Linked DNA regions of Oreochromis niloticus. The protein of the gene in region 1 interacts with the protein of each later gene in a pairwise test. Links are inferred from orthologs where the notes say so. Each region holds a gene or a part of one and is shown on either strand. Other genes may lie near its edges.

Region 1 (7,923 bases):
ATCGCTCTTACAGAAGCACTTTTTAAAGTGGGCAACTGTGGCTCAGGATTAGAGTGGGTCTGTGGGTCAAAGTATCTTTGGTACCGAACCTCGTGTTGGCCCCGGGGCATCAGCTGAGCTGTGTGTGCTGATAGGCACCGGAAAAGAAACCTGTGATTGGGTGAATGAGGCTGGTAGTAAAAAGTGATGAGTGCCATAGATGTTCAGTCCATTTAGTCCAGGGTCTCAAACTCGCAGCCCACCTCAGCCTTACCTCCGGCCTGTACACTGATGTGAAGAAATCTAATGCAGTGTTTTTGTTAAATACGAACACAATGACAGCAGCAGTGCTGCCACGTGTCAGACAGACAGGACCAATGTGTTTAGTCTTGCTACACAACATTTGAAACGTACTACTTGAACACTAAAGTGTCCTCCAATGAGACGACAGTGTCAGCAGTGGCCCACGGCTCATTTCACTGCTTCAGTCTTCAGTTTGGTGGAATCTGTGTCGATGCCAAGCCTCCGACGAGCTGATGCCCTCTAATGATGTGAACACCAGACAAACGTGGCATAAAAAAGAATTTTAATGAAACCCATCACACCCAAATATCACATTACACACACTTTGATTCACAACACATTTCAGAAACATTTGGAAACAGTGTCAGTTGGATCAGGACGTTCAGTGGTCTGAGAGGAAGATCTTGTAGAAGCTGACTGAAATATCAAAAACAGTGTCCTGGTCCCACAGGACCGACCCGACAGCAGCACAGAAACAACTAAAACCAGCTTATTTTAATGCTACAATCTGAGGACTACGCACACTTATTATTTGCACAGTAAAAACATGATTGACATGTAGTCAGAGACAGCCAGCGTTTCCATGTGCGTCTGCAGAAAGGCACTTCCATGGTTTCCTCAGCTTTGACCTGGCCTAACGCACAGTACTCGTTTCCTGAAGGTGAACATATTCAAACCCACAGCTGTCCACACACCTGTGCGTAGCTTCGACGATCAAATCAGGTCTGCGGCTGCAGCTGCTCCAGGGACGACAGCAGCTCCTGGGCGCTGGGTCTGCAGGGGGGCGTTCCGTTCCAGCAGCGGCTCAGCAGAGCCCGAAACAGCCGCCCCGGCTCCGACCCGAACACCTGGTGGTCCTGAACAGAAGGCCGCAGATTGTGAGCCACCACCGCGTAGATGACGTGCTCCCTGTCGCCGGTGTAGGGCGGCTCTCTGGTGAGAAGCTGCCACAGAGTGATGCCGAAAGAAAAGATGTCCGCTTTAGGAGTCACCCTCTCGCCTCTGAGCAGCTCAGGGGCTCTGTGCGTGTACGTGCCACCCACGAGTGGCTGGTGGCTCGCAGCGCTGACCTCACAGCCAGGGTCCAGTTTGAGCGAACAGCCGAAATCTGCTATTTTGCACACGTCCTGGCTGGTTAGCAGCACGTTAGCTGGTTTAATGTCCAGATGCACGACGCCGTGGGAGTGGAGAAACCTCAGGCCGTGAACGATGTCCGAGGAGTACCTGACGCACCTGTCCTGTCCCAGCGGCTCCGTGCCACCGTAAATGACCTGCTGGAGGTTCCTTCTGCCCACGAACTCCATCAGTATAACCCCGATGCTGCCTTCATCTCCACACTGTGGCGGGACGCAGGTGGTGGCAGCTATTACGCGCACTATGTTCGCGTGGCGCAGGTGCGCCGCGTTCAGCTCGGCCCAGAAGCTCTGCTGGGACGCCAGCTTGTTCTTGGTTGACCTGTTGACCTTCTTCACCGCCACGGTCTCTCCGAAGTACTCCGCCTTGTAGACCGAGCCGAAGCCTCCCGAGCCCACGGGCTGCACGGAGCGCAGCTGCTTCCAGTGGATAACCGAGGACCAAAGCCGAGTGGCGACTCTGCCATGGAGCCGCTGAGCGGGCACTTGTAGGGTGGAGCCGTGCTTAGTCAGCGGGCTGCTGCAGGGCCCCGTGTCCAGAGAGGGGCAGAAGTCTTTGGGCAGCAGACGGGTCAGCGGGATGGGAGAAGGCATGGCACGCTGTGGACCATACTGCTCTGCACGCCGAACAGCTACTCTGCGCTCAGCTGAGGCTTTTACGCGCTCCGCACTGCCGCCTACTGTTCTGGAGGATGTAATGCTTCTGTTTGGGTTCACTGGGTTCATGCCGATGGTTCAACTCAGTTTACTCTATACAACAGGGCAGAGCCGGGTAAAAGGACGGCTTTGTGTGAACAACATCTGGGATAGTAAGCATAACAACATCTACGGTCATATATACGTCATGGCGAGCCGTGTGAGCTGGTAATGTGTGCGCAGTGTTTAAAGCTGCGGATGGAGAGCCCTCCCTGAACTGTCAGGGTGGACTGAGTGTGAGACTGGGGGAGGGAGCTCCACCGAGGAGCGTGGAGCTCACAGCCTGTCTGTTTCACTCTCTCTGACTTTTCCAGCATGCAAAAACAGATGCTCACTTTCTAACAGCCTGCTCACTGGTAACAAAGGAAAACATGTAACTGTTCATTACTGTGTTTTAATGCAAGCTACTGGAACCAGTCTGATGGGAAAAGATCTGTCTGAAATCTCTGTACTGCACTGTAGGCAGTGACACAATGCACACAGCTGATTATGAAATCTGCTGCATGTCTGTCACACACAAACCTTCAGAGTACGAGGTATTTTGTCATTTTCATGGGTGAGAGAGATTTTTCATGTTGTAAGAAAAGGAAACGTATTAAAAAGCTTAAAGCTTTGATTTGAATACATTTCTTACTAGCAAGCTAAAGCCATGTGATAGACCCCAGCCCCCCCGTGACCCTGATTTTAGGAGGATGATGACTGTTAAGAACAGTGATATCAAATATACATCAGTTTAGAATACAGCCATGAGTGTGGATTTAGACTTTAGTAAAGGCTAAAATATTACAGCACCTTAAATTCCTTAATGTCAGTGGTTCAAATTCATGTTTAATTAAAGGAGACATTACTAAAGCTGATGTCTTTTCCTGTGTTTGAACCATTCTTCTCATGTAGAAAGTCCTAAACGACTGGGCCCATCCCATCACAGACGAGTGGTTTCCAAAGCTCTCTACTTTAAAAGCACAGCATACTGAAGCTGTGCTAATATGATGGGGATTTAAAGTAAAACACAACTACTGCTGATAGTCACCAGTTTTTGTTGACATTGTAAGGCGAGCCCATTTTTACACAAAGATCACACCATTATGATGAAGACCTCATGTTATAGAGTGAAGATCAAAGTGTTAAAGTGGATTTTTGCATCTTCAGGAGTGTTTCAGAGAAGCAGTGAAAACAATGTTAAGAGTTACAGTGAGTTACACAGTGTAACAGTGTTTCAGTGTGTAACAGTAACAAAGTTCTCAGAGTGACACGTTGAAAACAGACGAGCTGGATTCTTCTCTGTTTGATTTCTTTTATTACATTGAATAAAACATTGGAGTTGTCAACTGCAGCTCTTCTATTATAGCAGCAACATATGTGAATGAAATCAGGTTATTCTGCCAGGCAATAAATAATCTGCTTCTTTGGATGATGTCAAAGCTGCAGGATTAACATTTATTTTACACAACCTATAAACACACACAGACGAGTGTGAGCTGTATATGTATTTGTGTGTTTAGGTGATACTTTGCCTATAAAAATACAACAGTAGTTTGTAAGATAAATGTAAAAGTAAAAAAAAGTAAAGTAAAATATGAAGAACATTAAGAATTTGCAACGAGTCGATCATCGTCACAGGATGGTCTTTTTAAATGTGGCTGGATGCAGCTCATTTACACTGCTATCAGTTTCCCAGCATCAGCGTAACCTCCCAACACGACTCAGTCTGTGGACGCTCACACGCAGGTGAGCGTGGGCGGGGTGGTGGTGGGGCTATATTAAAGGCAAAGACTACAAAAGTCACAGTACAAGAAAATATATGAAGCTATAAAGTACAACTAGGCACACACATACCAACTGTTCAGCTACACGGGATACTTTGTACAAACGATACGTCTGAAGAGATAGTAAGGAGGTCTGTAGCACCTTAAGGAGCTTTAGAAGTATGTTAGCAGCTTGATCCAATACCAAAATATATTGCAGTGTTTTTTCATAACATTCAATAAAGTTCACTGGTACCATTGAAGCTTATAAAGAAGTTTGAATTGCTAAAGGTCTGTGCCTCTCATTGAAGAGCATCTCCTGCCTCAGCACGTACCAGGACAGAGCGCACGCACACACGCGCACACACACACACACACACACACACACACACTCTCTCTAAAATACTTGTAATCAGCTTTGATCCACTGTTATTGCTTCTCTGTACCTGGAATCTGTCGTACAGTCCATAAGAGTTATACATCACATGTGTAGCTAGCTGCAGCTTTCAGACAGCGACCACGAGGAAATCAAGTAATGTATCACACCGAGGTGTAAAAATGACAGAAGAGGACACACTCATGGAGCTATTGGACACATCTTATTTTTGGACATCTAAACACTCTGTGACACAGTGATATTATTAAGTAGCTTCGTTTCAGCTTCACTACGGTGCATTCTGACTTAAACCAGCGTACCAACGGTCAAAGGAGACCAATTAAGTCCAAACAAAGCTGCAAAGCAAGAGCCCTCAATGAGAAACACAGAGCAATTGTGCAAGTAAAGCAAAAATGACACTTTATAGGAAAAACACTGTCAAAAATTGTACCTGCAAAAATAAAACATTTATATTGTATTTACATGTTATTGTTCTCTAAAAGAGCTAAATATAGAATCTATACATTTGTAATAAAAGACTCGATGCTGCAGGAAATAAACGCATCCCATTTACAAAAAGTGCTAATAAAAATAGCGGCTTGCTAACATCTCTTGTAAAACCACAAACATTCACAAGATCCAAAGAGCAAACTTCCATAAAGGTTGGGAACATTCAGAATTCAGTTCCACATTTCACACAACCTACAAAAATATGGTTTCCATTCGTGTTCATCTCTGGTCACTCACAAAGGAGACAGGGAACTTTGTGTCATTATTTTCAGAATTTTGGAGCTCAAAGAAGAAAAGTGAGGTAAATTATAACACTATTGGGTTATACAGGCATCAGACGAGTCACCACATGTGTGGAAATGCTAACCTATGTGGTGGAAGGGAAGTGACGACTCAATTTCTGTGAAATTCACATTTTCTGTAGAGTGCGCAGCCCAGTAGCTCTTCAAAGGGGATCAGGTGTCCAAACAGGTTCACTGGATGAAATAAGATTTGTTTATGGCAGTGACTGTCAGACCACTGCAGGCAGGGCATGGACACAGGTACATGGAGTCAAACTATACAAGAATGTGTTGACGCTATCGCACTAAATCTGATCTATTCACCTTCAGGTGCAGGTGTGACTGACGCTCGTGGAAGTGGTGAAAGCAACAAACATGAAACAGACTTGTCACTCTTTACTGTAACTGTTTGATGCCAGGGTTTAAAAAAAGACTTTAACCAAAACGAAAAATAATTCATATCCAGCTGCAAGAAATATGAAACTCTCTATATATACTGTCTCATTTACAACAGAAGCCACAGTGATGAGCATGAACCATCATTACTGACCTTGGGAACAGCAGTTTAAACAAGACTAAATGCTTGTTTAGTAGATTCTGTGTGGGATGGGAACACTTTCCCACCTGTCAGTTTGCTGTGGCCCAAACTTTGGTGACAGAGTAACATACAACCTAATATGGTTTGGATATGTCAATGTAGTCAAGGTCACAAATACACAGGCATTATTCAAAATACATACATTTCCCCCATTATCGGAAACATGTCCATGAAGAAGAAATCTTTATTCCAACGAAAACACAAAACCTCAGAGAAATTCTGTCCAAAGCACAAAGTCAAAGTGACGAGTGGTGACGTACCCTAACCCCACAGCCACGAGAAGTGCCGTCAAACTCGCATCAAAAGTAATCGCTCAGTGTTTCTCTGTCTACACATCACCACTGTAACTGGAACCAGTACGCCATGGGGTGTACGGCGCTTCCTTCATACTGGACACAAACATGGAGCCAACTGCCAGCTATGTTCCACACCATCAATGCATTCAGTTTCAGTAAGACATGAATGATTCCTGAATGAAACCAAGAATTACAGATGAATATGTCTGGCCACGTAAGTCTGCCAGCAGCACGAGTTCATGTTGTCACATAGTTACTGTGCGGTCTACAATCCTAAACCGTGATGCTTCAGTGTGTGTTTACAAGCTGGCACAAGCTGAGCTCTTATCCATTTATTGAGATCTTTAAGCATCTTTCACTCCAAATGTCAAGAGAACCAACAGCTAACATGGACTATAATGCATCACCTGTGTTTGATATATATGACTGGAACGCTTCTTGTTCATGCGAACAGCTGAGATCTGATGCTCATCTGAACAACATCACGCTGACTGAGAACGAGGTTTTAAATGCGCCCTGTGTGTAGGCTGATTTACGCACCTGGAACTGTCCATCTGAGGCAGAGTTACTACTCGCTGCCTGCCTTTACTGCTTCTGACCAAGCATCAACCACATCAGCCCATTCTGTGAGAAGTCATCCTTTTGATCAAAGAATTTAAAGAAACCACCTTTTAATAGTGAACAATTCAAAATCGTTATAATTAAAGATCCAGTAACACTCCATGTCTTAACATCTACCCCTCAAGACAATTTGACTTTCTTTTTCTAGTATTTGAAGTTTCTACATGAATGAAAACCACTGTGTGGTTACATGTTTTTTATATGACGATCTATGACGTCAAGGACCAGTGCTGTAAATCCTTTCATTTGAACTATCATTCTCATAGAGGAGCAGAACTGCTTCAGTCTACCATCCTGTAGGCAGATTTTGACCTCAGAGGGCAGGTTTTAGGAATAACGCAGTGCTATGTCAAAGAACTGAAAAGACTGTAAAGACCATTTAAGCACTGCAGTAAAATCCAACTGAGCAGTTTCCTTTGTACTTATAAACAGTATTTCAGTTATTTTCACACACTGTGTCATAGTAAACACAGCCACGTCTTCCAGGATTGTGTTTTAGTGCTCAGATATTCATAGATTTAGTCAGTGCAGACTAATGTATGACTAATATCTGATAATGCAGTTTTAGACAATTGCTTGACCATCAAACTGATCTATTTGTCAGCTGTAATTATTTTAAAGGTTGTCCAGGGGATGCTGGGTTTGCACAACACTGTGAAACAACGTTCCCTTCAAGTTTCACAAATTCAAAAATGCTCGATGACAACAGTCTTTTTAAAAATGGAATGACAGCCAGGATGTGACAAAGTAACAATAAAAACCAAAAAGCCTTCATGTCACAGTAAGTTCATTCAGAGTCCTGTTGTGTTGTATCAGCAGTGTGTTTAGCTCTCACCTGTGTCTGATGTCACTTTGTGTCCACGGGTAGAGCACATTGTAAAGGTTGCTTTGTTAACATTTTAAATGACTGAATTGGACCTTATTATTTGTAAGATGTGAGGATGAATGTCAGTCAAAGGGAAAAACATTAAAATGACTGCAGTTTTATGGTAACATTTGATACTCCCAGGATTTCTGTGTTGAATACTCAACATGTGGTCTGATCTCTCTGTATGTCATAATTATCAATCAGTCATGTTGTAGTGGTTAACATGTTCACTTACACATGAAACTGGTTTGAGACTGGGAGAAACCAGTCTCTGGTGGTCAAACCTTGCACAGTGGCCGTCCCAGATAAATGGAAAGGTTGTATCAGGCAGTGGATGCAGTGTGCCATTTGTGCCAAATGAAACATGTGGGTCCATCTGCTGTGGCAGCCCCCTGGGAAATAAGGAAGCAGCTGAAAATACTTGATGGAAATATTATCATGGTTTAGGGCCGTTTTGCCGCCTCAGGTCTTAGATACCCGATACTGAGGAAACATGGATCACTTAAATTTCACAGCC
Region 2 (8,037 bases), on another chromosome or scaffold:
AACAAATCAAAAGCAAAAGAAATAATGACCAGTGGATTCAAAGTCTAAATTTATGTCTCTCACATAACAGAGATATAATGTATATTTCTGGCCTACACAAAGGTTAGTGTGTAGTCGGCTGCTGTACTTGGAACGTCACTGGCATTAGTCTCAGAAAGATGTTCAATTATATGCTGAGAAAAATGACACAGCAGGAAGAATAATACCTGCAGGTACAGAGAGGATTTGATGATTGCAGGGCATATGAAGTGTGAAATGAGTGAGAAACAGAGATGAGCTGGTTACCTAAGTCAAGAGGAGAGGGGAGGTCAGAGACTGGGTTGGCTGCCAAAGCCTTAGAGGGAAAGCTTGTGAAAGGAGAGTAACCTGAAATAGAAGAGAAGAGGGGAAGGAGGCAAATACAAGAAGATGAAGAGAAGTGCATGAAGCAAAATGAAGGAAGGAGAGGGCAGCTGAAAATCCGATTAGTATGCTCAGGTGCTGTGCTTTGCTCACACATACATGATCATTCACATGGCAGGAGGCATGTAGGACACTCCAAGGTTATATCCCTCTGAATGCTTAAAGTACAGCCTACCTGAACTGCTGGATGTCTCACTCATGCGCACATTTTTTTAAACAAACTGCACTTTACCTTGCGGTGGAGCCCCAGGCTGATAGGCTGACGCAGGGCCATTGTAGGGTGCGTAGGGTGCTGGATAGCTCCCATCCAGGGGAGCGTAACCAGGCTGGCCATAACCAGGCTGGGGCTGGCCATATGGAGAGGCCATTGGCGTGTGCTGGTTTACATTCATCCTCAGTTCATCCCTAAATCTGGATGAAATTTTGAAATAACAATACAGTTAGTTACTTAGATGTCATAATTAAGGATTAAACTTGTTTAGCCTGTTTTCTGTGTGTGAACAATAATACAACCAGGGCACCTGTAGTGTGAAAGCCCCTGAAATAAGGCCAGTACTGATAAAGGCTGTTGTGAAAGTATTGTGTTTCTCTGAAACAAAGACACAGGCTCGTTCAAGGAGCAGGGAGAATCTGCCCACACAGCAGTGCTTGCACATACTGTTATAACATTTACTGACAACTGTCCTGTTTAAGAAAAAGTTTTTTCCAAAGCAGTTTAACCAGTAAGTCTAACTAAAATAACAAGCAAGATCTTAACATCCACATAAAACATAATGGATCCCAAATGAAGTTTTTGGCACCAAGCACCTGAACTAAAAAACAGGCAAACTGACACAGAAGAGCTTTGCCCCGCAGGACTCTAAACTCTGTAAATGTCTATAGTCTGACATAAATCCCACTGACTTATGACATTAACATTTCCTGGTTCAGTGACAACACCTTTATTGGCTTTTTATGTTTGACTTGGCCACACCCTCAGCCTTTTAAATTTTACACAATGTGCTACAAAAATTAAATAACATTAAATAAAAAGATTACAACCAAAAGAAAGTAAACAAACATTAATATCAAAGACTTATTGTTAAAATGACACAAAATGCAAAATTATTATGCAACTCTTTGGCAGCTTTAAAGATAGTATCAGATAATACCTGAGTATAGGTTTTACAAGTAATTATAGAGAAAGTGTATTGTAGACAACTAAAAGGATGAAAAACATAGTTATGACTAGTTATATCTTAAGTTTCTTGTGAAAGAAGCTTAAGAGCTAAAGATTGTATAGTTAGAAAACTAAAATAACCATCTAAGAAATGGGTTTTAGACGTTGTCAAGCTGGTAAATAAGCCAATAAAATGCATGTAAGCAACTTTTGTTGCTATACTGGGCTATCTGCATGATAGAAAGTCAATGTTGTCTTGCCATGACTTTCCTAAACAACTTATAAAATCTAATACTTAAAGTGATGAAAACTACACTAAAAATATCTCAAATGAGAAGAGCAGGGCAAGCGTGCAAACTAAGTCAATCATAAATCGACAATAACATAAAATAAAAACTAATTAAGGCAGTGAGAAGAAACTAAATGCTGAATTAGGAAAATCACCTTTATGAGCATAACTCCAACACATGTCAACTTTAACCCTGCTAACAGATGTGGGTGAGTGGTGTTTTTATTCACTTTTTTCCTGGAGACAGGCCTAAAATATAAGACATGAGTGATCAGTATCGTCTGACAGACAAACACGAGCTAAACGAGCGGGGCCATTGAATAATTCAGCAGTGCAGGTGCCACAGCCAGAAACAATCGCTGGAACCGTAACTGTTCTTTTACTACGTCGGGCCTACAGAGTGACCAACATCAATTCCAAGGTGCACTGCTAAAGGTTTGGGCTAGTAATTTTATCCAAACATCGGAGAACTTTTTAAAACTCACACAGAAACAGGGTGTTTGAGAATAAAAAACACGTGCCAGGTAGGGAAAAGACTGTTTTGTAGGAGGGAAGTGTGAAATCTGGCGAGTAGTAATGCCGCCGCATTACAATTAGCTCGCTAGCAATGCTAACATTAGCCAGACAACATGTCAACCAAGAGTCAAAAACAACTTGCCTCTCTTATTATACAGGTAACTGTTCTGACTCTAAGTAGGGGTCAAAGCAGGACACGTTCCTTATTTAACCAGACTCCAGCTACCCCAGCATGCTAACGTTAGCAACCACACAGCCTGAATCATGACAGCACATCAGCTGTGACCAAATGCTAAATGCTAAGTTAGCTCGTAATCTCCTAGCTTTTCCTCAGAGCGGTGCTAGCAGTGCCTTAGCATTAGCCAAGCATTAGCAAACGTAGCGAAATCCAAGATCCCCAGTGAAGCCGGGCGGGGATGGCAAAAAAGAAACCGTATCAAAACCTAAACCTACCTCCAAAGTGATGTAAATAGTAAGGCTGTCCTAGATTTGATGCAAATTGTGAAGCCCGGTGGCCGACAAACTAAGACGCCGATGTCGTCCCGGGGTGTTGCTCACTAATCCCTTCTCGGTATCAGAAGCGGACATTCAGCGGAACTGCTGCAGCGCTGTGCCACGTCCACATCCGGACTCCGCAAAGCGACTTCCTCCGAGAGAGCGCAGCAGTGGTTGCTGGAAGCTGTTCAGGCTGCTCTGTTAAGAGTTTTGGTTTCATTGTAAGAATTGGGGTTTGTTTTTTCACCTTCTCTTCGGGAGTTTGAGAAGGCAGCGGTGTAATTGGAATACGGTATCGGCAACCAACTATTTAACATGTAAAATGCCAGTCTTTTTAATCAAAGCATTGATAGTTATTAATAAAAGTTATTAAACAGGGGATGTTTCATGATATTTGTGGTGGCACAGAGGGGACCAAAAACCAGTGGAGGAAGGGTATTGCTGGGGTCAGCGTAATCAACCCTTACTAAAAAAAAGAGGCACTTTTGAGCAGTTTTTTCAGATAAGGTCAGATCAGAGGGAACTTCAGATGTCACAGCAGTATACATACAACACACAATAAATCCAATGCAGAAATAGAGATATAACAGAGAAAAAGAAATAAAGATATCAATATAAATATAGCAAGACATAAGTACTAATACATATGATTTCCAGAATTCTGTCACCGACCATCTCCTCCAGGGTGGTGAGTTTCATGCCGACAACTGACTTAACCTTCCTGAGGAGTTTATTCAGTCTCAATTTTACAATAAAATACAATAAAAATTTGTATGTAGTGGAAAAATATTTAAAAATATAAATGTATATTTCATTTTCATTTACATGTTTCCACATAAAATTTGTCCTTAGGACCCGCAACATACATGACAATATCTTATCATTAGGAATAACTGAATTTTCATTACAATAATACCAATAAATAAATAAAATAAAATAAAATGAAGTTTTATCCCATGGGGTTACATCTGGCATCTGGCATCTGGCAAATCTTTAAACTAGTGTAGAAAACCCTTTCCCTGATATAGACGCTGTATTATGGAACTATAGCACCTATATTATGTGCTAACATAGGTGCTGCAAAAGAGTTGCAATGCAAAATGTTGCACTGAAAAAGAGTTTCAGAATCTATTTATATTGAGTATTCTTTTTCCTCTTTGGTGGAATAAGTATTTTACCTACTTAGAAAGTAAAAGTAGCTATAAATGTACATAGTAATGGTATTGTTGTATCCGTAGGAGCTCTGCCTTCTGTCTTTTTTCAGTCCAAACCATATAATGTAGCAGGTTTCACTACCATCTTGTAAACCTTCCATTTCCCTCTTGCCAAGAGCCACTGTACTCCTTGTACAAGTCTGAAGCTTGGATACATCAGGAATGCCATTTGGTGTAAATCATCTTCGCTGTGGTACAGCCAGTAAATAAAAAAGAAAAAAAATAGATAAAGATCTCAGTAAAAACCTCAAAAAATGTAATACGACAAACCCCCAATCCATCAGTTTTTAAATGCCTGTCCTCTGTAGCATTTTGAGCATTCTGGCTAACAACAGACCATACAGAACATACAGAACATACACCAAAAAGTTCTCCTGATAGCCCATGCTACTCTTTTCAGGGGTGCTGTTTTTATCTTGCTTGGTTAGGAGTGTTGGCTATTCATCAAATAATCACAATGTGATATGAGGAAGCCATCTGAATATGATGCGGCCGACTTCCAGCGCCTCTAAATGTAAGCCAGAAGAAGCCAATACACTGTAGAACTGCCAAATCTGTCCACATTTTGAGCTTGCAAAATGCAGGACAATTTCTCTTTTTAATCATCTCAAATGGGTTTGCAATTTTGATCAGGTAGCCAAGTACAAATTCTTTAATCGTGTGCCTTCCTTTAGCGACGTCTGATGTGATTAAGCTTTAATACATCAGCCAAGCTCCTCATTTATTGGAATAATGCATTTTGTTCTGTAACAGTTTTCACAAAGTGCGACAGCACCAAACTTCTACTTCCTCAGAGCCAGAAGTCCCTTTAGCACCCACTCTGAAACTGTCAGATTGGATAGTCACCCATTAAGAAGACTAGTCCATGTGCTGCGGGTGCTGGTCAGGCTTGCTGAGCTGGGGGGGGTTGAAGAGGGAGTGGTGCTGATGGTTATTTCTGGAGGATATATCAGTAAGTGCCCCTTGCAGGACAGGGTGCTGGAGAGTGACATGGCAAGTGTTGAATCCAAGTCAGGACGAATGCACACACACATACACACAAGCACGCTACACACTTTTGCCCCTTCTCACCCTGCTGAGCTCCCACCCTCTGACACAGCATTCCAGCCTGAGCAGATGAAAGCCAGCCACCCTCTGTCTCCTCATGGGTGGAGTGACGGAAAGCAGTGAGATACCTATTGATACTCACAGAGTGTGAGGAACTGAAGAAGGGGAGAGCAGCATATACACCACCACACAGGCACACAGCAGGCTGTGAGCTGAGAGCAGGAATGGTAGCTGAGGAGATTGTGGTGTCTCTCTCAGGAGGAGCCCCGTGGGGTTTCAGACTCCAGGGAGGAGCTGAGCAGCAAAAACCTCTACAGGTGGCCAAGGTACAGTAGATCTGATATATGTGTATGCATGCAGTATGTTGTAGTTAAGTCTGCTGCCAAGGTAGTAATGTGAGTAGACGATTTGATGGAGATTGCAGCTGTTAACTGTAGGCTCAGGCCTCAGCGAGTCTTGTGGTCTGTAATCTGACCTGAAATACGAATAAATGAATCAGCTGCAGTAGAGTCACTAGAGATTTTACTTTCTGGTTCTTGTAGGTGTTTTTAGGAATTTGAACACCTAAATTAAGTCATGCTTGAAACTGTTTCAATGTGCTGTATTTTTGTCAGTAATTATGTTATTCTAATTAATTAAAACTGAACTAGAACTAGAAGCAAAAATACATTTCAGTTAACTGGAATTAACACAAAATCTAAACAAAACAAACTAAAACTATTCTGTGTACTTACAAAACTAACATCTTACATTTCAGCCTTTATCGATTTAGTGAAGTTCGTCAATACAACTACCATGAATTGATTGTGATTGTGAGTCAATGTTTGTATTTTTTGGAAAATATGAAACTTTGCCTCTAAAAAATAGCATTACTGTGACATAATAAACAAAAAACAAACAAACAAACAAACAAACAAACAAAAAAACTCCAGTATAAAAATGAAATCTAACATAATATTTTAATAAATAAGGAGATAAACTAAAGTGAGCAAATCCAGAAACTAAACTATATACTTTCTATTTTACATTTACTTGTTCTTGCCTAGAAAGGCAAGAATGACTTCCTTGATGGGCAAATTCATTTAAAAATGATTTTAATTAGAGTGTGATCTAATATAAACTTCTGAGCAAAAGTAATGTCCCTTCAAGTTCACACAGTTTTGACAGTTCAGGATTTTTCCTGGCTCCAAACTGGTTTTTGGGGAAAGAGGATTACCCGTCTCTATGAATGACTGTAAAAACTTTATTGAAATATGCATTTTCCTTTTGCTTCTAGTCATTTTACAAACTGTTTTGCTTGAGTTAAAACAACACAAAGAAACAAAACTAGTTTTAAAAAATGTAATAATTGCATTACAATACTTGACAGAGGGAAAGGGAATTCTGGCCACTGTTCCTGACACTCGTTTGGCTGTGGCCCAGTTCACTTTGTGCCTCACCTGTTTTGAGGGAATTAGTGGGTCAGTGAGCAGCGTGAACACATGTTTGGGGTTTGACTCGAGTTCCATCCTTGGATTTCTTTGAAACAGGTTCATATGTCATCCATGTATATGAGTACACGTCCGGCTATTGTGAACACACCTACAACAGGTAATGAACTTGCTTCATATTTTTCACTGTCACATATTTGTGTGACACATTAATCCATCTTTAAGCCTAAGAGATTTTTTTTTTCTGGCTGGGTTTCTCTAAAGGCTTTTTGCATCTCTGTTTATATTTGATGACAGTCCAGAATGTGCTCTCTAATGGGAAAAGCTATTCTGGAAAGCAGGAATGTGGACTCGCTCACACTGAAAGTCCATCATTCATCCACGAGCAGCCAAAACGTCTGATTCGGAAATGTGCTTCTGTTCATTAAAGACTTTCAAGTGGAAAAGGGATTTTGATGGGAGGTTGATCAGTGATGAGTGTGTGCTTCAGTCTGTTGGTGTGTTTATCTGTGGTTGGACATGCCTCAGATAAGCCCAATTGGGAATGGAGAGGACCAGAGGATCAGAATAGCTCATCGAAGAGGAGCTGGAAGCTGAGCATGGAAAAAGGACGACCTCTTGGTCACATAAAAAAATACAGGCACACACACACAAACACACACATTTTCTTTCCTTTTTAATTAATTCTACTTTTGCATGTCTGTGCCTGTGTGTGGTTTATCCATAATAGTAGCATCTGTCTTTCCCCCATTTGTGTAAGAATGTGGGTGATTTTCCTGCAAGGTTTTATTTCGGGTATGTGGGCGACATATGGTGAATGACAGGCATGCCCCATGGTCCAGACTGGTGAAGCAGCTGTTCAAACCCCCTCTTTCATGATGCTCACTTGAGCTGTGTGTGTACGTGTGTGTGTACATTGGCTGGAGATAAATAGCTTGTCCTTGCTTCGCTTGAATGACGACAGAGTTGGATTATTGGGTCAGGAGATACTGATAAAGGCAAAGGAGGCGCTTGAACACACTTAACATTTTTACCTTCAGCAGCGATAAAGTGTGTGTATCAGTGTGTTTATGTGAGGCTACAGATTGGATAGCTTTATCTTTTTCTTTTAGAGTTAATTATAATCTAGCAGACAAGAATAGTTGCCTTTCCATCTATACGATCTATCACTCCCCCAGTAGTGTCTACCCCCCAGTAGACATATTTCCTGAAGGATCCTATGACATCATCTCTTAGTGACCTTCAGCAACAGCTGCATGACTTCAGAAGTTAATTCCGATGCAGGGACGATAATGACTCCCGCTAAAGGAGAGCTGCATGTTGCAGAATGTTTTTGGTCACTTTTATATAGTCAGGCATAAAAAAAGAAGCTAACAAATACTTGACAGTGTTTCGGTGCCTGTGCAGGAGCAATCAAAGATTTTTATTAGGAAAAAACAATATAGTGACATACTAAAGCAGGACCGTGCAGTGACCTCAAACATG

The links.
Region 2: the proteins of mos (region 1) and sec24c interact in binary tests that used the Homo sapiens proteins (3 or more experiments, as listed by UniProt). The two-hybrid records come from large-scale screens. The link is inferred for Oreochromis niloticus from reciprocal best matches to the Homo sapiens genes MOS and SEC24C.

The regions. Positions count from the first base shown.
Region 1 is NC_031974.2:34,870,312-34,878,234, reverse strand, and holds mos (proto-oncogene serine/threonine-protein kinase mos), read right to left. Parts: upstream 2,946-7,923; 5' UTR 2,142-2,945; coding exon 1,002-2,141; 3' UTR 549-1,001; downstream 1-548.
Region 2 is NC_031973.2:10,125,591-10,133,627, forward strand, and holds the start of sec24c (protein transport protein Sec24C), read right to left. Parts: upstream 3,006-8,037; 5' UTR 2,820-3,005; intron 814-2,819; 5' UTR 795-813; coding exon 635-794; intron 367-634; coding exon 286-366; intron 1-285. Other genes in the region: synaptopodin 2-like protein, read left to right, coding at 5,347-5,448. UniProt on the Homo sapiens protein: Component of the coat protein complex II (COPII) which promotes the formation of transport vesicles from the endoplasmic reticulum (ER).